2 linked regions of the Canis lupus familiaris genome follow. The protein of the gene in region 1 interacts with the protein of each later gene in a pairwise test. Links are inferred from orthologs where the notes say so. Each region holds a gene or a part of one and is shown in the gene's direction. Other genes may lie near its edges.

What was found. The genes of interacting proteins can lie anywhere in the genome.
Region 2: the proteins of GRN (region 1) and ARFGAP1 interact in binary tests that used the Homo sapiens proteins (3 or more experiments, as listed by UniProt). The two-hybrid records come from large-scale screens. The link is inferred for Canis lupus familiaris from reciprocal best matches to the Homo sapiens genes GRN and ARFGAP1.

The regions. Positions count from the first base shown.
Region 1 is NC_049230.1:18,955,396-18,963,192, reverse strand, and holds the start of GRN (progranulin), read left to right. Parts: upstream 1-2,902; 5' UTR 2,903-3,055; exon of another isoform or gene 3,056-3,225; intron 3,226-6,274; 5' UTR 6,275-6,281; coding exon 6,282-6,419; intron 6,420-6,543; coding exon 6,544-6,669; intron 6,670-6,779; coding exon 6,780-6,864; intron 6,865-7,346; coding exon 7,347-7,459; intron 7,460-7,553; coding exon 7,554-7,689; intron 7,690-7,797. UniProt on the Homo sapiens protein: Secreted protein that acts as a key regulator of lysosomal function and as a growth factor involved in inflammation, wound healing and cell proliferation. Regulates protein trafficking to lysosomes, and also the activity of lysosomal enzymes.
Region 2 is NC_049245.1:47,830,770-47,838,462, forward strand, and holds the start of ARFGAP1 (ADP-ribosylation factor GTPase-activating protein 1), read left to right. Parts: upstream 1-2,624; 5' UTR 2,625-2,740; intron 2,741-5,504; 5' UTR 5,505-5,508; coding exon 5,509-5,568; intron 5,569-5,768; coding exon 5,769-5,878; intron 5,879-6,117; coding exon 6,118-6,289; intron 6,290-6,692; coding exon 6,693-6,793; intron 6,794-7,606; coding exon 7,607-7,693. UniProt on the Homo sapiens protein: GTPase-activating protein (GAP) for the ADP ribosylation factor 1 (ARF1). Involved in membrane trafficking and /or vesicle transport.

The DNA.
Region 1 (7,797 bases):
CAGGATCGAGTCCCACATCAGGCTCCCTGAATGGAGCCTGCTTCTCACTTTGCTTGTGTCTCCACCTCTCTCTCTCTCTCTCTCTGTCTCATGAATGAATAAATAAAATCCTTAAAAAAACTATAGTAATCAAGACAATGTAGTACTGGCATGAGGACATATACATCAATGGAAAAGAATTGAGAGTCCAGAAATAAACCCTCACAGTTACAGTCAATTAATTTTATCAAAATTAAAAATCACAAGGCCTGGCCAAAGGGAGTTGGGTGGGCACAGGGACGGGGAAAATGGGCATGGACCCTTTGATGTCATATTTCTTTGTGACTCTGAAGTCTGCTTATTTTCAGTCCTCTCTATTCAAAAAAAAAAAAAAAAGGATGCACCCTTCTTAAAAGCAAAAAGCAGAGGGAGAGAGATTCCTAAATTAGAGGGTTTAAGGACACTAGAGTGTTTCTTGAGGAATGCGAGAGATGTTCTGCAGTCCTCAGAAGAACTGTACCCTTTCCACTAAAGTGGAATTTCACTGCACCCATTTGACAGGTAAATACCTTTTGTTTAATAAATATGTTTCACATTTCTTTGCCATAGCAATCAGAGTAATTGCATCTGATTCATATTTTCCTAAAGCTTAGGCTCACACCTTGACTATTAATTATCTTGTCCTTTGAGAGTGAAGCCTACAAGGCCCATCAGCTCATCCAGGACTGTTTGCCCCTACATCCAATGTCTCCAGGATGTTGAGCTTCTAAGTCCATCAGTCTGCCTTTTGCATTTTATTCCTGTTAAATGCTTTTAATCCTTGCTAAACTCAAAGTGATTGCTTTTCCTCTGATCTTTCTATAATCTATGGTTGCTTGGAAATCAGATAACATTCATTAAAAATATCTGAACTATATGGGGCACCTGGCTGCCTCAGTCAGTAGAGCATACAACTCTTGATCTCAGGGTCATGAGTTTGAGCCCTATGTTGAGTGTGTGTGTGTGTGTGTGTGTATGCACATACATGTATGAAATAAGAGAAAGACGCTATATGAAGGAAACTTTGAGTTCTCTCACAGAGACAGAGAGAACAGAGACAGTTTATGATTCTATTGAGAGAGTTTAGTGAGAGTTTCTTAACCTCAGTACTACTCATTTTGGGAAGAATAATCTTTGTTGTGGGAGTGTCCTTTGCATTGTGGGATGTTTAGCAGCATCCCTGGCCTCTGCTTGCTAGATGCCCAGAGGACCTCGCCCTAGTTGTGACAACCCAGAATATCTCCGCACACTGCCAAATATCCCTGATGGGCAAATCACTCCTTTCAGGATACTTTTCAGGGATACTTGTATCAATCACTCTAGTTTTTTTCCCTGTGTTTATTTTTTATGGTTCTGTGCAGTTGCGGTTAATATGTTCATTTATAGATTATCCTAACATTTCATGAAAAATGTGTGTGCCCATACTTTATTAATGGAAGCATAAATGGGACCTCCCCTTGCCTCAGGATACTCAGGAGGTAAACTGTGTACAAATGTCACTAGCGTACAGGGTTGTCCTGATTCTCAGCAGGAGCCTCACACACTCTCCAGACCCTCTCTAGCCCCAGGCTGAGCACCACTGCCACACACAATTCCCCAACCCTGCTACTCCCACACACAGAATGCCACCACCCCTGAATTGGGGTGTTTGTCATCTCCCCCAGCCACCCCTCTGCCCAAGCTCTTTGTTGAGCCTGTGGTGCTCTCCATCCACACTGTACCACCAAACACTGCCTGTCCCCCTAGCCTGGCACTGGGCTTTCTCTGGGCCTCTCCTCTTTCCTGGTGCATCTATCAACCATTTTTGGCCTGAGCCAAAATGGCCTTTTGGCACGGAGCAGCCTGGCTCTTGTTGCTGGCCAATCTGTTCTGTGTAGTACCTTTCTCTCCTCACCGGTTATTTCAATTCCTGGAAGGCAAGGCTGACTCTAACGAGGAAGCCACTTCCACTATGCTCCCACCCCCAGCCCAAGCCTCGTGTCAGGCACCCAACAGCTCCTCAAGCCCACTACGTTGTACTTGGCATTTAATCCCTGCCCAACGCTGCTCTTCCCATCTGGTTTCCTAATGCTCTTCCTAACACCCCCTGCTCAGGAGCTTTGCCAACCCCTGTCCACCTGCCAGTTAACATTCTCCCAGGTTCAGCTCCAAAAGGTGTCCTTAAAGGGGCGCCTGGGTGGTTCACTTGGTTGAGTATCTGCCGTTGGCTCAGGTCATGATCCTAGGGTCTAGGATCAAGCCCCAGTCCAGCTCCCTGCTCAGCAGGGAGTCTGCTTCTCCCTCTCCCTCCGCTCATGCTCGTTCTCTCAGATAAATAAATAAATAATTTTTAAAGTGCCCTTAAGGTAGAATTAAATCTTTTCCTCCCTGCCAAGAGCCAATCTTCCACCTCTGCCCTACACACATCCATTAATACCTGGCACACGATCTTGCACCTTAAATTAGATTGAACGTGAGCCTGTCTCATCTCTCTACCCACTCACACCCGGCCAGGAGCACCCTGAGGAAAGGGCCTGAGAGCTGTCTATCCTTGCCCTCACAACCCTCCCTTCGGGGCCTGGCTGCCCAGCATTTATTCTGAGTTCGTTGAATACAAAAGAAACAGGATGCACAGGTGTCCCTAACCCAGAAGCAGACATCCTGTAAACGCCCTGGAGTGCACCCCCTAAGGGGCAGCTCCCTTCGCCGGCCAACGCACTCCGGGGCCACACCACCTCGGGAAGACTCCGCCAGGCGCCCGCAGCCCGGCCGAGCCCGGCCAGGACGTCACATGATTCTCCAATCACATGATCCCATAAAACAGTGGAGGGGGGAGGGTGGGAAGCGAGAAGAAGGGAGGGACGACCGCGAATTGAGTAAGAAAAAAAAGCAGAGCTTTGCAGGCTGGCCCCGCCTCTACCGTCGAGCAGCAGCCAGTAGGAGCGCGACAGCCCGGACGCCTGGCCAATGGGAACGGAGGTGGGCGGGCCGTCGCGCCGCAGGCCCTAGTCCCGAGCTGCCCGGCCCGGCTTCGCAGCGAGCGCGGGGCCGGTCACAGGTAAGGAGGGTGGCCGCGCAGACCTCTCGCTTCCTCGGCAGTTCGGCCGGGCGGACGTGAGGGCTTGAGGCTCGTCTGGAGTTTCAGCCGGGAGGCAAGAGAAGACTGGCTCAGAGAAGCTCCTTTGGGGCTTTCCGATGCACAGGAGGCAGTTTTACGGGGGGCCGGGGGTAAGCAGTGATTGCAGTGACCCCCACGAGAAGGGGGCTCTCTCCCTCTCCAGCGGCTCCGGAAGCTGCAGCCCCTTCCCCAGAGCAGGGACCACCCCATTCTTGAGCCGGCTCCGGGCCGGTCCGGGTGCTGCTGCTGGTGCTGCTGGTGCTGCTGCTGGTGGTGCTGGGTGGTCCCCGGGGCACTGGGAGCGAGAGAGGCGCGCGCCCTGGTCCTGGAGCTCAGAGGGCTGCGAGTGGGCTGGTGGCCCTGCCCCCTCCAGGGTAGCAGGGCCGGGGGGGTGGTGACCGAACGCGGGGGTTGGGTCTGCCGCTCCCGTACTTCCTCTCGTGGGGGGTGGGACCAGCCAACTTCCGCCTCTCCCGGCCACTTTTCCTGCTCACTCGCAGTTGGGTTGGCTCACCTTTTGGGAATCTCTCTCCTGACGCTGGGAGTTGGGGGCTGCCACCTAGTGGAAGATGGCAGAGCTGGGGGCTTGGAGAGGCTCCTGTCCCTCTCTACCTTGGGAGTGGGGGGTGGCGGGAGAGAGGTCATCCTTGGTTGTGAGTGTGTGCGCGCGTCTGTGCATTGGTATCCACTAGAAGCACACGCTGTACTCCCTAACTTTAGGATGCCAAAGACTGCCCCGTGGTCCCAGATTTGTGCAGACAGGCACCTCTTCCGGCCTAAGCCAGGACAAGGGACAGCCTACGGAAGGTTGAGGTGTGACTCCCAAGAAGTAGGCGGGACGAGTCTTGCCTGGAGCTGTGAGTGTAGAGGAGAGGGTGAAAGGGGCCAAGGTATAGGACCAGCCAGGCGGTGTCCCCTGGAAACGGTCTCTGAGCTGGGACTGGGGCCGCGAAGAGAGCCAGGTGAGGGAGAGAAGGATGCAAGTGACTGGCTGGGTGTAAGTCGTCGCCACACCCAGTGTGCAGTGTCCACACAGACTCATGGGGGAACTGAGGCCCCAAGACAGCAACTTTTGAGGCTCTCACCATCAGTGGTGGCAATTCTAGGACTAGCACCCCAGTGCAGTATCCAGCACCCCTGTGCTTCTCATTTCTGTCCTGCCTTGTCCACCTGCTCAGAAAATGCTTCTGTCTCCCTCCTCTGCTTGGACCCCAGGCCTCTACTCTCCTGGGGTTCAGGGGTCCATTCCTGGGCACTGTGCATGGTGCCACCTGGTGACATGAACCCAAGTCTGGTATGCTTTGTAGCTCTCAAAGCCTGTCATCTCCATGACTGGATATATGACAAGGGCATGTTACCGAACTTCTCTGAGCCTCAAAGTAAAGGTAATTAGTACTTTGGATGGCTGTTGCAAAAAAGAAAGAAAATAGGATAGAGTATTGTAACTGGCCCGGGAAAGGCTCAACAAACTTTTTTTTTTTTAAGATGTTATTTATTTATTTATTTATGAGACACAGAGAGAGGCAGAAACACAGGCAGAGGGAGAAGCAGGCTCCTTGCAGGGAGCCTGATGCGGGACTCGATCCCCAGACCCTAGGATCACACCCTGAGACAAAAGCAGACACTCAACTTCTGAGCCAACCAGGCATCCTGAAGCTCAATAGACATTACTAGTCTTGCCCCTCCAGGCAGGGTAACATCTTCTGGGCCCATCCCATTGAACTAGTAGGGCTGGCTGAGCTTGGAATACTCATTTAGGAAGTCAGAGGTTACTCCCCAGAGACTCATGATTGGTTTCTTCTGCTAGTGCAGCTGTGTGAGTGCATGTGATCTTCTTCCTGTACTGCTGAGTTTCAGCTTCCGGGTAGGGGGTCGGCAGGGTTTGGGGGTGGTATGTTTGGGGAGTCTTAAAGGGCCTGGTGGTGTTGGGGGAGCCCAAGGGCACAGGTGTCTCAAAGGCTGGCCCGGCCTGTGCACCCCTTCCCTGGGTGGTTGGGGACAGCTGGGGGGGTAGGTATGGCTGGCCTCTGGGGTAGGCAGCCCAGATTCCACGGGCTACCACACTTCCCTTTTTTTTTTTTTTAATTTATGATAGTTACACAGAGAGAGAGAGAGGCAGAGACACAGGCAGAGGGAGAAGCAGGCTCCACGCACCGGGAGCCTGACGTGGGATTCGATCCCGGGTCTCCAGGATCGCTCCCTGGGCCAAAGGCAGGCGCTAAACCACTGCGCCACCCAGGGATCCCCACACTTCCCTTTTCATAACTTTCTCAACACCCTGGTTTCCCACGTCATCATGTGACACCCCTCCCCCACCCCACACAGGGAGGCTTCTGGAGGGGCTGGCTGGGGAAGTGGAACCCCAGCTTTTCTTCAAAGGGGGACTCCCTCTTTGCCCCCCAGCCCAGTCCTCCCATGGCCACTGATGCCTCACCCACTCCCTGGAGGTGCCCCATGTCCCTACAGATCAGACCCACAAACCCCACAAATTTTCCTTTCACAGACTTACATCTTTTTTTTTAAGATTTTTTTTTTTTTAAAGTATTCTCTGCACCTAGCATGGGGCTCAAATCTACAACGTCAAGATCAAGAGTCACATGCCTTGTTGACTAAGCCAGACTGGTGCTCTCATACGCCTACATCTTTACACACTCACCCACAGATGGAGACATTTGGCCACATTTTGGGGACACAGATCGACACACATACTTGGTTGTTTTTATCTTTTTTTAATAAAACAATATTTTATTAATTTATTTGACAGAGAGAGCACAAGCAGTGAGAGTGGCAGGCAGAGGGAGAGGGAGAAACAGGCTCCCCACTGAGCAGGGAGCTTGACACCAGGCTCCATCCCAGGAGCTTGGGATCATGACCTGAGCTGAAGGTAGACATTTAACCAAGTGAGCCACCCAGGCGCCCCTGACATGCATCCTTGTGTCAGCACTTCTGTCCAGGTGCTGTTACACATATGATGCACATGCAGGACACATATAGGAAGCTGGATCTTGGGCCTCACATCTTTCTTCCTGCCTCAACAGGGAATTGTTGGAGAGGCTCAGGTGGTATCTGGCACGGACCTGGGGGAGTGACTGGCCCCAGAATCAAGGGTCACATGGGCTTGTTGAAGCTAGTCGCCAAATGCCTCTTGGTGTTTTGCAGGCAGACCATGTGGACCCTGGTGAGCTGGGTGGCCTTGGTGGCCGGGCTGGTAGCTGGGACACAGTGCCCAGATGGTCAGTTCTGCCCTGTGGCCTGCTGCCTGGACCCAGGAGGAGCCAGCTACAGTTGCTGCAATCCCATTCCGGTGAGCGCCCTGCAGCCCAGGCAAGAGCTGGCAGCCTGGCATTTTCCAAAGGGGCATCTTGGCATGGCCAGAGAGAGGGGGCAGGCTTGGGTCCTTCATTTTGCCCTCTCCTCTTGCTTTCCAGGGCAAGTGGCCCACGGAGCTGAGCAGGCATCTGGGCAGGCCCTGCCAGCTAGATGCCCACTGCTCTCCTGGCTACTCCTGCCTCCTCACGATCTTGGGGACCTCCAGCTGCTGCCCGTTCCCAGAGGTGAGGGTACCATTAGTTCAACACGGGGGCTCAGGTCAGCATTTAGACTTTCCCTCCACTCACCCCAGGTAAAAGGGCCTAGCCAATGTTGGCGTCTCTGTGTCCCACAGGCCGTGTCGTGTGCCGATGGCCGCCACTGCTGCCCACGAGGCTACCACTGCAGTGCTGATGGGAGGTCCTGCTTCCAAAGATCAGGTGCGGCAGGGGTGGAGGTGGAGGGCAGGCAGATGGGCAGCATGCAGAGGCTGGCCTGCCCAGGAACCCCGCCAGCTGGGTGACCTGATTCCTGCCCTTGTGCCCTCATTCTCGTGGCATCTGTACTAAACAACCCCTTTGCTTGTGCTGGACAGAGGGGCAGCACCAGGTTAGGAAGGGGCGGGAGAGGATGCCAGACTCAAGGCCCAGCGCCAGGCATTCTGAGGATGGAGAGAGGTCAAGCTGGGCTGGTTTAAGGCCAGTCTAGTCACTGGATGCCCCTCCTGGTGCCATATTGCCGCAGCAGACTGGCTTGTGGGGAGAGTGGGTTAGGCGTGCCTGGGAGAGCACTGAGCCCAGTGCCGGACCCCGAGCCCCACCGTGCTGGGCCTGGAGGCTCTGGCACAAGCAGCTCCTCGAGTGACGGGAGTATTGGCCTTCCCTGACTGGGTTGGCGGAATCCTGGGTCATCCTGTCCACAGATACCAACCCCTTGGGTGCCATCCAGTGCCCTGACAGCCAGTTTGAATGTCCCAACTCCTCCACGTGCTGCACTATGCTAGATGGCTCCTGGGGATGCTGCCCCATGCCCCAGGTACAGGTTTGGGAAGAGGGGGGTGGGGGAAGCAGCAGGGGCAGAGCAAGGGGCTGGAGAGATCAAAGTCCGGGTCGGAACCATCTCTCGTCAGGCTTCTTGCTGCGAGGACAAGGTGCACTGCTGCCCCCATGGTACCTCCTGTGACCTGGCTCATGCCCGCTGCCTCACGGCCACAGGAAGCCACCCCCTGGCAAAGAAGATCCCCGCACAAAGGAGTAACAGGGCAGGTAAGGAAGTGGGAGAGCATCAGGTTCGGGGTTGGAAGTGAGGCGAGGCCTCATCTGGCTCTCAGCTGGGGAAGAGCTCCCCGCCACCTGGGCTGCCCCGCACACCTC
Region 2 (7,693 bases), on another chromosome or scaffold:
CCCTGGGGCCCAGACAAGGCCGCTGAGACTCGTGCTGGGCGTCCTGACCCGAACACATGCCCGCTTGCCTGCGTGGCTGCCCAGCTCCACGCGCCGGCTTCTCCCCTGAGGGGCTGTAACAGAGGCTGGGTCCTTGGCCCTCTAAACTGCCCTTTGGACCGCGGGAAAATCTGAGCAATGGGTTCATACCAGAGCATGCGCGGTGGTTGTGCAGCTTAACAGGCTCTGCCTTTCGAGCCCAGGACCTGACGTCCGCAGAGTGGCGGGAAGTGTGGGCTCCTGGCCTGAAAGGGAACTAACTGCAGACTTCTCTTCAGCACTGGGGAAACGGAGGCTGGGGCGAAGTAGCGGGATGACGCGGCTCCCGCTGCGCTTCACCTGCACTCCTGCCCCTGCTCACCCTGTGCGCCGGGCTGGCGCCCACGGGCCTGCAGCTCGCTCCCAGGAGTTCCCGTCGTCCTATGACACCCAGGCCTTCCCTGCCCCGAGGAAACCACAGACAGGATCCTATTACTGTAACTGAAAATTAATGGACTGCCGGCGGCGGTTCTAAAAGAAAAGCAAATTGTCTGAATAGTTTAGGTGGAGTAATAAAGGGCCGCCTGGGGGCCCAGCGGGTGTGCGTCTGTCGGCCTTCAGCCCAGGGTCCCGGGATCTAGTCCTGCATCCGGCTCCCCAGAGGGAGCCTGCTTCTCCCTCTGCCTGTCTCATGAATAAATAAAAAAAATTTATTTTAAAGATGGAGTAATAGAATGTTTCCAATTTGTAGCTACGCGTTCTGCAGCACTCACAGCTTCACCATCCCAGATTCTGCTCTGCTCAGCGAACGCTTTCTCCTGTCGTCCGGACACTGCAAGAGCCTTGAGGTGGAGGAAGGAGCTGCCGTGTTGCCCTATCCTTGGAAGGCCCCCCCTCTGGTCTTGGCTCCGGGACGTGTCCCTTGCTCTGGGGATGAACCTCGCCCCAGACCTCCCGGAACCTAGGGCAGTGGGTGATCGTGATCGACTTTCATGCTTTGTGATCAGGAAAATGAACATTCAGCCTCCACTGGTTGTCTGCTCTGGCTGCTGCCCAGTGCTGGTCCCAGTTGTGCCGTTGCCAGGACAGCCTCCGCTCCCCTCCCCTCCCCTCCCCTCCTCTCTGCCAGCATCCGCTCAGCCTTCAGAGCCCACCTCCTCCAGGAGGCCACTGTAAATGCAGCACAAGGCTCTCACTGTCTGAACCTGGGGAGGCAACACTGCTGACCCCAGGCTCTTGTGCTGAAATCTAGTCTCGTATTGCCACTGTGTAGACACTGGTGTGCCCGTCATTCCCGTCATTCCCGTGAGTGCTTCTGGCTCCTTCCTGAGGGTTTCCTCTGGCGGCAGGAGGGTGCTGGTGCTCAAGCCAGCACAGGCAGGTGGGGAGTGCTGGGAGGATGAGCACCGGGGCAGCTGTCAGCCAACAACCAAGGGAGATGCTGCGACCCCACCGTGGGCCCACAGAGGCTGCAGTGGAGCAACCGTCTTACTGTGGGTGGAAAAATAAATGGTACACACACACGCACACACACACACCCAGAAGACTGGCAACTTTGTGGAAAGTTCAAAGGACACCCACCCATCTCCCAGCAATTTTCCTTCTAGGGGACTACGCGAGAAAAATTGAAAATATGCCCTCAAAAAAGCTGGTAGGTGAATTTGAAAGCATCTTTATTCGTAATATGGAAAACTTAAAACTGACTCCAGTGTCCAGCAGGTGAATGACAAACGAGGGGGCTGCACTCAGTGGAATACTGTTCAGCGACGCAAAGGAGCAGTGGCGGCTGCTACAACACGGATGAGTCCCCAAACGCCGGCTGAGTGGACGACCCGGTAGGTGGCCCTTCTGTGCCAGGCCTGGGACGACCCCGCGGCCAGGGGGTCTTGGTTAAGCCAGCGGAGTGAGCCACTGGGAGGACACACTGCGTTTATTTACAGATGCCTACACTGGCGAGCTAAGAGGTGAGGACCCAGCGCCTACGGTGGCTGCTGCGACCCATTGGTCCCTAATGGTGACCCGATGGCGGTGGCCGCCCGGGGGTGCATCCGTCAGGTCATGGCCCTGGACATCTCACAGACTGTGCTTACACCTTAATAAAAACGTTACACGTGATCCTTCCAAAATCCACAAAAAAGCACCGAGTGCAAAGCAAACCGAAAATCATTTGCGGGTCCCCTCGTCCCGGGACCAGCTCTTCTAACAGGCTCCGCCGCTCTGGGCCTCGCGACCCCGGTCCCGCCCCCACGGCGGCCCCAAGGGCGGGGGTCTCGGCGGGTCCGGGCACGGCCCGGGGCTCGGTCCCTCCCAGGCGGGTCCCCCCCGCCTGCGGCCGTCCTGCTCCCGCTGCACCGCCCGCTGCGCTTCCGTGTCCGCCGCTGTGGGCGGGCCTCCCGCGGCCCCGGCGGGACCCTGAGCCCGGCCCCCGCCCCGCTCCAGCCCCGCGGTCCGCGACGCCGCCCCGCGTTCCCATGGCGACGGGGGCGGGGCCGCGCTGCCGCTCGGGGACGGAGGCGGAAGTCCCGCCCCGCCCCGCCCTCCCCGGCTTCCCGTGATGCCCCGCGAGGCGCAACGTAGCCGGAAGCGGGTGGCGGCGGGGCGGGCGGCGGGCGCGCGTCCCCGGAGCAGCCTGCGGCGCGCCCGACCGCGGACCCGACGGACCCGGCGGACCCCGGCGGACCCCGGCGGACCCCGGCGCGCGGGATCGAGCCCGGACCCCCCGGTAGGCGCGCGGCCCTTCGCCCCCGCCCGGGCCCCGCCTCGGGAGCGCCCCCGCAGCCCGCCCGGCCCCGCTCCCGCACGGACGGCCCCGGGGCCGGAGCCCAGGCTCCTCCGCCCGGCGGGTGCGGGGAGGCGGCCCGGGGACCCGCGCTGCTCGCCCCGCGCGTGGACGGTCCTCCCCGGGCCCCGTGGGGTGCGCGCCCCGCCGGAGGCTGCGGAGGCTGCGGCGCCCGCGGAGGGCCGGCCCCACGCTCCTGCGCGCCGTGCCCGGGCCGCGGGGCCTCCGCCTGGTGCTCGCTGCTCCGACAGCGGCTGTGCTGAGTGCTTCGGCCGGTCTCTGGGAGGAGCCCCGGGACCCAGCGGTGCCCCCGGTCATCCCGGGGACCCAGCCCGCGGGTCATCCCGGGGACGGAGCGGTGCCCCCGATGATCGCGGGACCCGGCGGTGCCCCCGCCCCCCCCCGTCATCCTGGGACCCAGCAGTGCCCCCTCCCCCCACGGTCATCCTGGGACCCAGCCCGCCAGACATCCCTGGGGACCCAGCGGTGCCCCCAAGTCATCCTGGGACCCAGCCCGCCAGTCATCCCGGGGACCCAGCGGTGCCCCCCGGTCATCCCTTTGAATCTCGGATGCGGACAGAGTCCCAACCCCAGGACCGGGTTCTGCAGCTCTTACAGGGCGGACCCGAGGAAGTGACCTCACTTGGTCAGCGTTCCCTGAAGTTACGGCCACTTGCAGGGAGCCACCTTTTACCACCTTGGTTTCAGGCACTAAAGAATCCTTGGATGGTTTCTTGAGATAAACCGTGTTTGCGGTTTTGAAAATTAGGACGCATTTCACGGATCCAAGTTAGCGTTTCAGGGAGTTGAAGGTCACGCCCATCAAAACTGGTCACCGAGGAGAGTTCATTTTCAATCCAGGTCATTTCCTGTTCACAGGTCACCTGCCGCTAGTTCTGCAGACTTTGGCTCTGCCTGATTTTATTTTACACAATTAGAAATTCAGGGCACATTCAACCCAGTTCTGGCTCTCCTTTGCTTGGTGCCCCTTTCGACCAGGATGTGAACCTCTGAGGAAAGGCACAGTTCTCTGGACGGACCAGGGGCTGGGCATGGAGACCCGATGGGGCAGGTTCGCATGTCAGCCCCGTGCAGCAGCCTGCAGAGGGCTCTCCGGTGGTCACCATGAGACGGACGTGTGCAGAGGGCTTTGTGAGTTCAGATCCGGCAGGATGGCCCCAAGTGTGGGTGTACCTGGGGACGCCCCCCGTGCAGCTCCTGTGCGGCGGCGACAAAAGTCGTTCACTTAAAGGAGTCCGGCCAGGCGCCCGTACTCGGGATTGTGCCCTCGGCGTCGGTAGGCGGTCTGCGTAGCACGGAAAACTGCGGAGTGCAGAGGAGTCGGAGCTGCACCTCGGGTCTCGTTTGTCAGTTATGGGAAGATAACCGCGTCTGTCGTCTTCAGCTGGCTTCTAGGTGGGCGCTGACAACCACGGGAGTCCCAACCGTCTAGGTTTAGAAAGTGTGGCTGTGCAGAGTCAGGGCTGCCACCCGTGACTTGTTCCCGCGGACTGAGATGACGGGTGAGGGACGGCGCAGGATCTCCTGGCTTGTTGAGGCTGCGTGTCCGTGGAAAGCTCCAGCTCCGCCGTCGGCGGGGAGGCTGGCTGTGCAGCAGGGCAGCAGAGCGGCTGCCTGAAATGTCCAGCAGCCGTGTGGGTGTCGGATCCGTGCCACTTCCAGGGTGCTGGCGGGGTCCCCGGCGGGTGCGTGCTGCCGTGAATTAGGGCAACAGCTCACAGGCGCCATTCACAAGTGAGAGAAGGGCGAGCTTCAGAGAGGCCCCCGCACAGTTGTGTGTTGGTGGTGGGAGAGGTGGCCTGAGGCCCAGGGCCAGGTGGTGCGTGCAGGACCGTGGGGTCGCTCTGCATCCAGCACCCTGCGGGCTCCCGTGCGCGTTCTCCAGCTTGAATCTACGTCGGTCTTCCTGGTCATGAGTCCAGTGCGCTGTTGCTTGAACTTGGGTTTTGCCGGAGCTGGGAGATTTATAAAGAGAAACGGTTTTTGTCTTCAGCCTGAGTTACGTGGCTCTTGTGCCCCAGCGTGTCCTTGTGAGGCATGGTGGCAGGTGTGCCCTGCTGTGGTCATGCTGTCGGTCACTTCCACCCTCCACGGGGGCCCCATGGAGGACCCACCTGTAGACCCGCAGGCCAACCTCTGCACACCTCCTGGTCACGGGGAGCACTTCGGCCCCACGCCACAGGCTGGGGAGGGGAAGGAAGGTGCCGCGCGCAGAGAACCTGCGGTTCCCTGTCCTCGAAGGTTGCTGGCCCGAGTCTGATACGTTGGCCCTTCAGGTGGGCGCCCGGTTTAGCAGCCAGTCTGTACGTTATGTAGAGGTCAGGCCCTTGCTGTGGGCTGCATCACAAGGTGGGAGGGACATTTTGTAAATCTGTAGTGTTGGCGGTTCGTGTCGGTTAGGCAAAGTGGACACCGATAATTACGTTATTCTTGGTAATTGCATTGTGTTTGGCCTGGAAACATCCAGACTGCTCTGGGTTTTTCTCCAGTGTGTAGAGGACAGATTCGTCCCATGAGTAGTTCCCTGATGCTGCCTGTAGTAAGCAGTGACGCTACCTCATAGCTTCCAGCAGCTTAGTGGGATTTCTCTGAAGCTATCTATGTGTTGTCGTGTTTTTGCACCAATGGGTTTTCTTGTAAAGTAACCTACTTGTAAGTTCCAAAATTTTGTTTTTCTTCTCTGCAGCATCATGGCCAGCCCAAGAACCAGGAAAGTCCTGAAAGAAGTCAGGGTGCAAGATGAAAACAACGTAAGCGTCTCTGCTTTGCTTTGATGCTTTGAGGTTTAGCAAACCTCCCGGAAGTTGCTTGTAGCCTCAGAGCTCTCCCTGCTGCTGTTAGGCTTGGGCCAGCCTCTCCTCTGCTCCTTCTTGGGGCCACCTGTCGGGTCTCTGGGGCTCTGGGCCCTGCCCCAAATGCCTGGGTGAGTTGCATGTGGCTCTTCCTGCAGGTGTGTTTTGAGTGTGGTGCATTCAACCCTCAGTGGGTGAGTGTGACCTACGGCATCTGGATCTGCCTGGAGTGCTCGGGGAAGCACCGCGGGCTTGGCGTGCACCTCAGGTCAGTGCCCTGCCCCTCGTGCCTTTTGGGCTCCGCAGGGATCCTGAGCCGTGGTCAGGGCCTGCTGTGGGCTGCAGGGTGACGGGGTAGCACGTGCTGCCTTGCCAGCTCTGCCCTCAGAGGTGTCACGGCCAGGTGCTTCTGTCACGGGAAGCTCATGCGTCGGGTTCACGACCTGGCTGGGGTGGGGGCTCCTGGACACCCAGTGCTGATAAGTAGGTTGGTGCTCTGGTTTCTAGCTTCGTGCGCTCGGTGACCATGGACAAGTGGAAGGACGTGGAGCTTGAGAAGATGAAAGCTGGAGGGAATGCGAAATTCCGGGAGTTCCTGGAGTCTCAGGAGGACTATGACCCCTGCTGGTCCCTGCAGGACAAGTACAACAGCAAGGCCGCGGCCCTCTTCAGGGACAAGGTAGGACCCGCCAGCCAGTGGTGCTGAGGCTCCGCCCATTGGCGGTTTGGGTGGCTCTGGGAGCTGGCGTCCTCCTGTGGGCTCTGCCACGCCTGCGGGGGCCGCGCACAGTCTGGGACTGCTGGGCACGGACAGGACGTGTGGGCTGTCTTGTCCCACCCCGGGGGAGGCAGGCGGTGTGTAGTTAGCCGGGGAGAGGATGGGCCTTTCTCCCTGCCCTCCGGGGGAGCATCGTGTGCTGGCCCCTCCGTACCGAGACCCCGTCCCCGTGTTGACATGTGACAGAGACCCTGGCCCGTGCCCGCTGAGCCTGGAAGGACAGCGAGCAGGATGGGCTAGAGTGGGTGACCTCGCCGATCAGTCCTGACGGTCCCGGCTTTCGAATCCCTGTGTCCCCTGGCAGGTAGCCACCCTGGCTGAGGGCAGAGAATGGTGTCTGGAGTCCTCGCCTGCCCAGAACTGGACCCCACCCCAGCCCAAGACACTGCTGTCCGCTGCTCACCGGTAGCTACTCCTCTGGCCTCTCGTCTGGGTCCCGGCTGTTCTGGGCCCAGCCCCGATCTTAGCCGTAGCTTGGGGCCCCTGTGCTGTTGTGGGAACGGCTCCCGTTGTGAGCTACTCCCAGGAGTCAGTGGGAAAACAGCTTCATAGGTTGTCTTAGCGATAGGGGTTTTCAGTAAAAGCGCCCCGGTAAGCTGTGTCTAGGGCCAAGGGGGCAGCTCCGCACTTCTCCATAGCCCGTTGGGACAGTGCTTTCAGATTCGAACCCATGACCGCAAGTTTCTGTAGGAAACGTCCCTGCTGGGTGGTGGTTCCATCCTTTGTCCTCCCGAGCACTACCCAGCCCCCGGAGCGCAGGTGTGGTGTGGACAGGTCGATCCCCACGGCAGACGTCCTGCGTCCTCTCAAGTGTCAGAGGCTGGTGATCTGCAGTGACCGGTCAGGGAAGGCTCCGTGTTTGCACCATGGGCGCCCCGGGACCCCCACCCCATGCCCGCACCATGCATCTCGTGGGAGCTCGGTGGGCCGCTGCTGACATGCCCGCTTCAGCACCCGGCTCTCCGGCCTCTGTGCTGCCCCCCACCAGCGTGGGCAGGCCTGGAGCAGCGGCCAGGGGCCCGTGGGGTCCTCTCTGGGCCGGAGCGTGTCCGCTTGCTGTTGCCCGCCGCGGCCAGTGAGCCGCCTTTCGGAGGTGGAGGCCAGCTGGCCTTAGGTGCTCCTTGCTGGGGGACGTGACAGCACGTCCTGGAGCTCCGCACGGTCCCTGCGCGTTCCTGTCCTCCGTTGACCTCACTGCCCTTTGATCCTCCCTCTCAGAGCTTCTGGCCACCCGCAGAACTCGACCTCGTCCTCAGACAAGGCTTTTGAAGACTGGCTTAACGACGACCTTGGCTCCTATCAGGG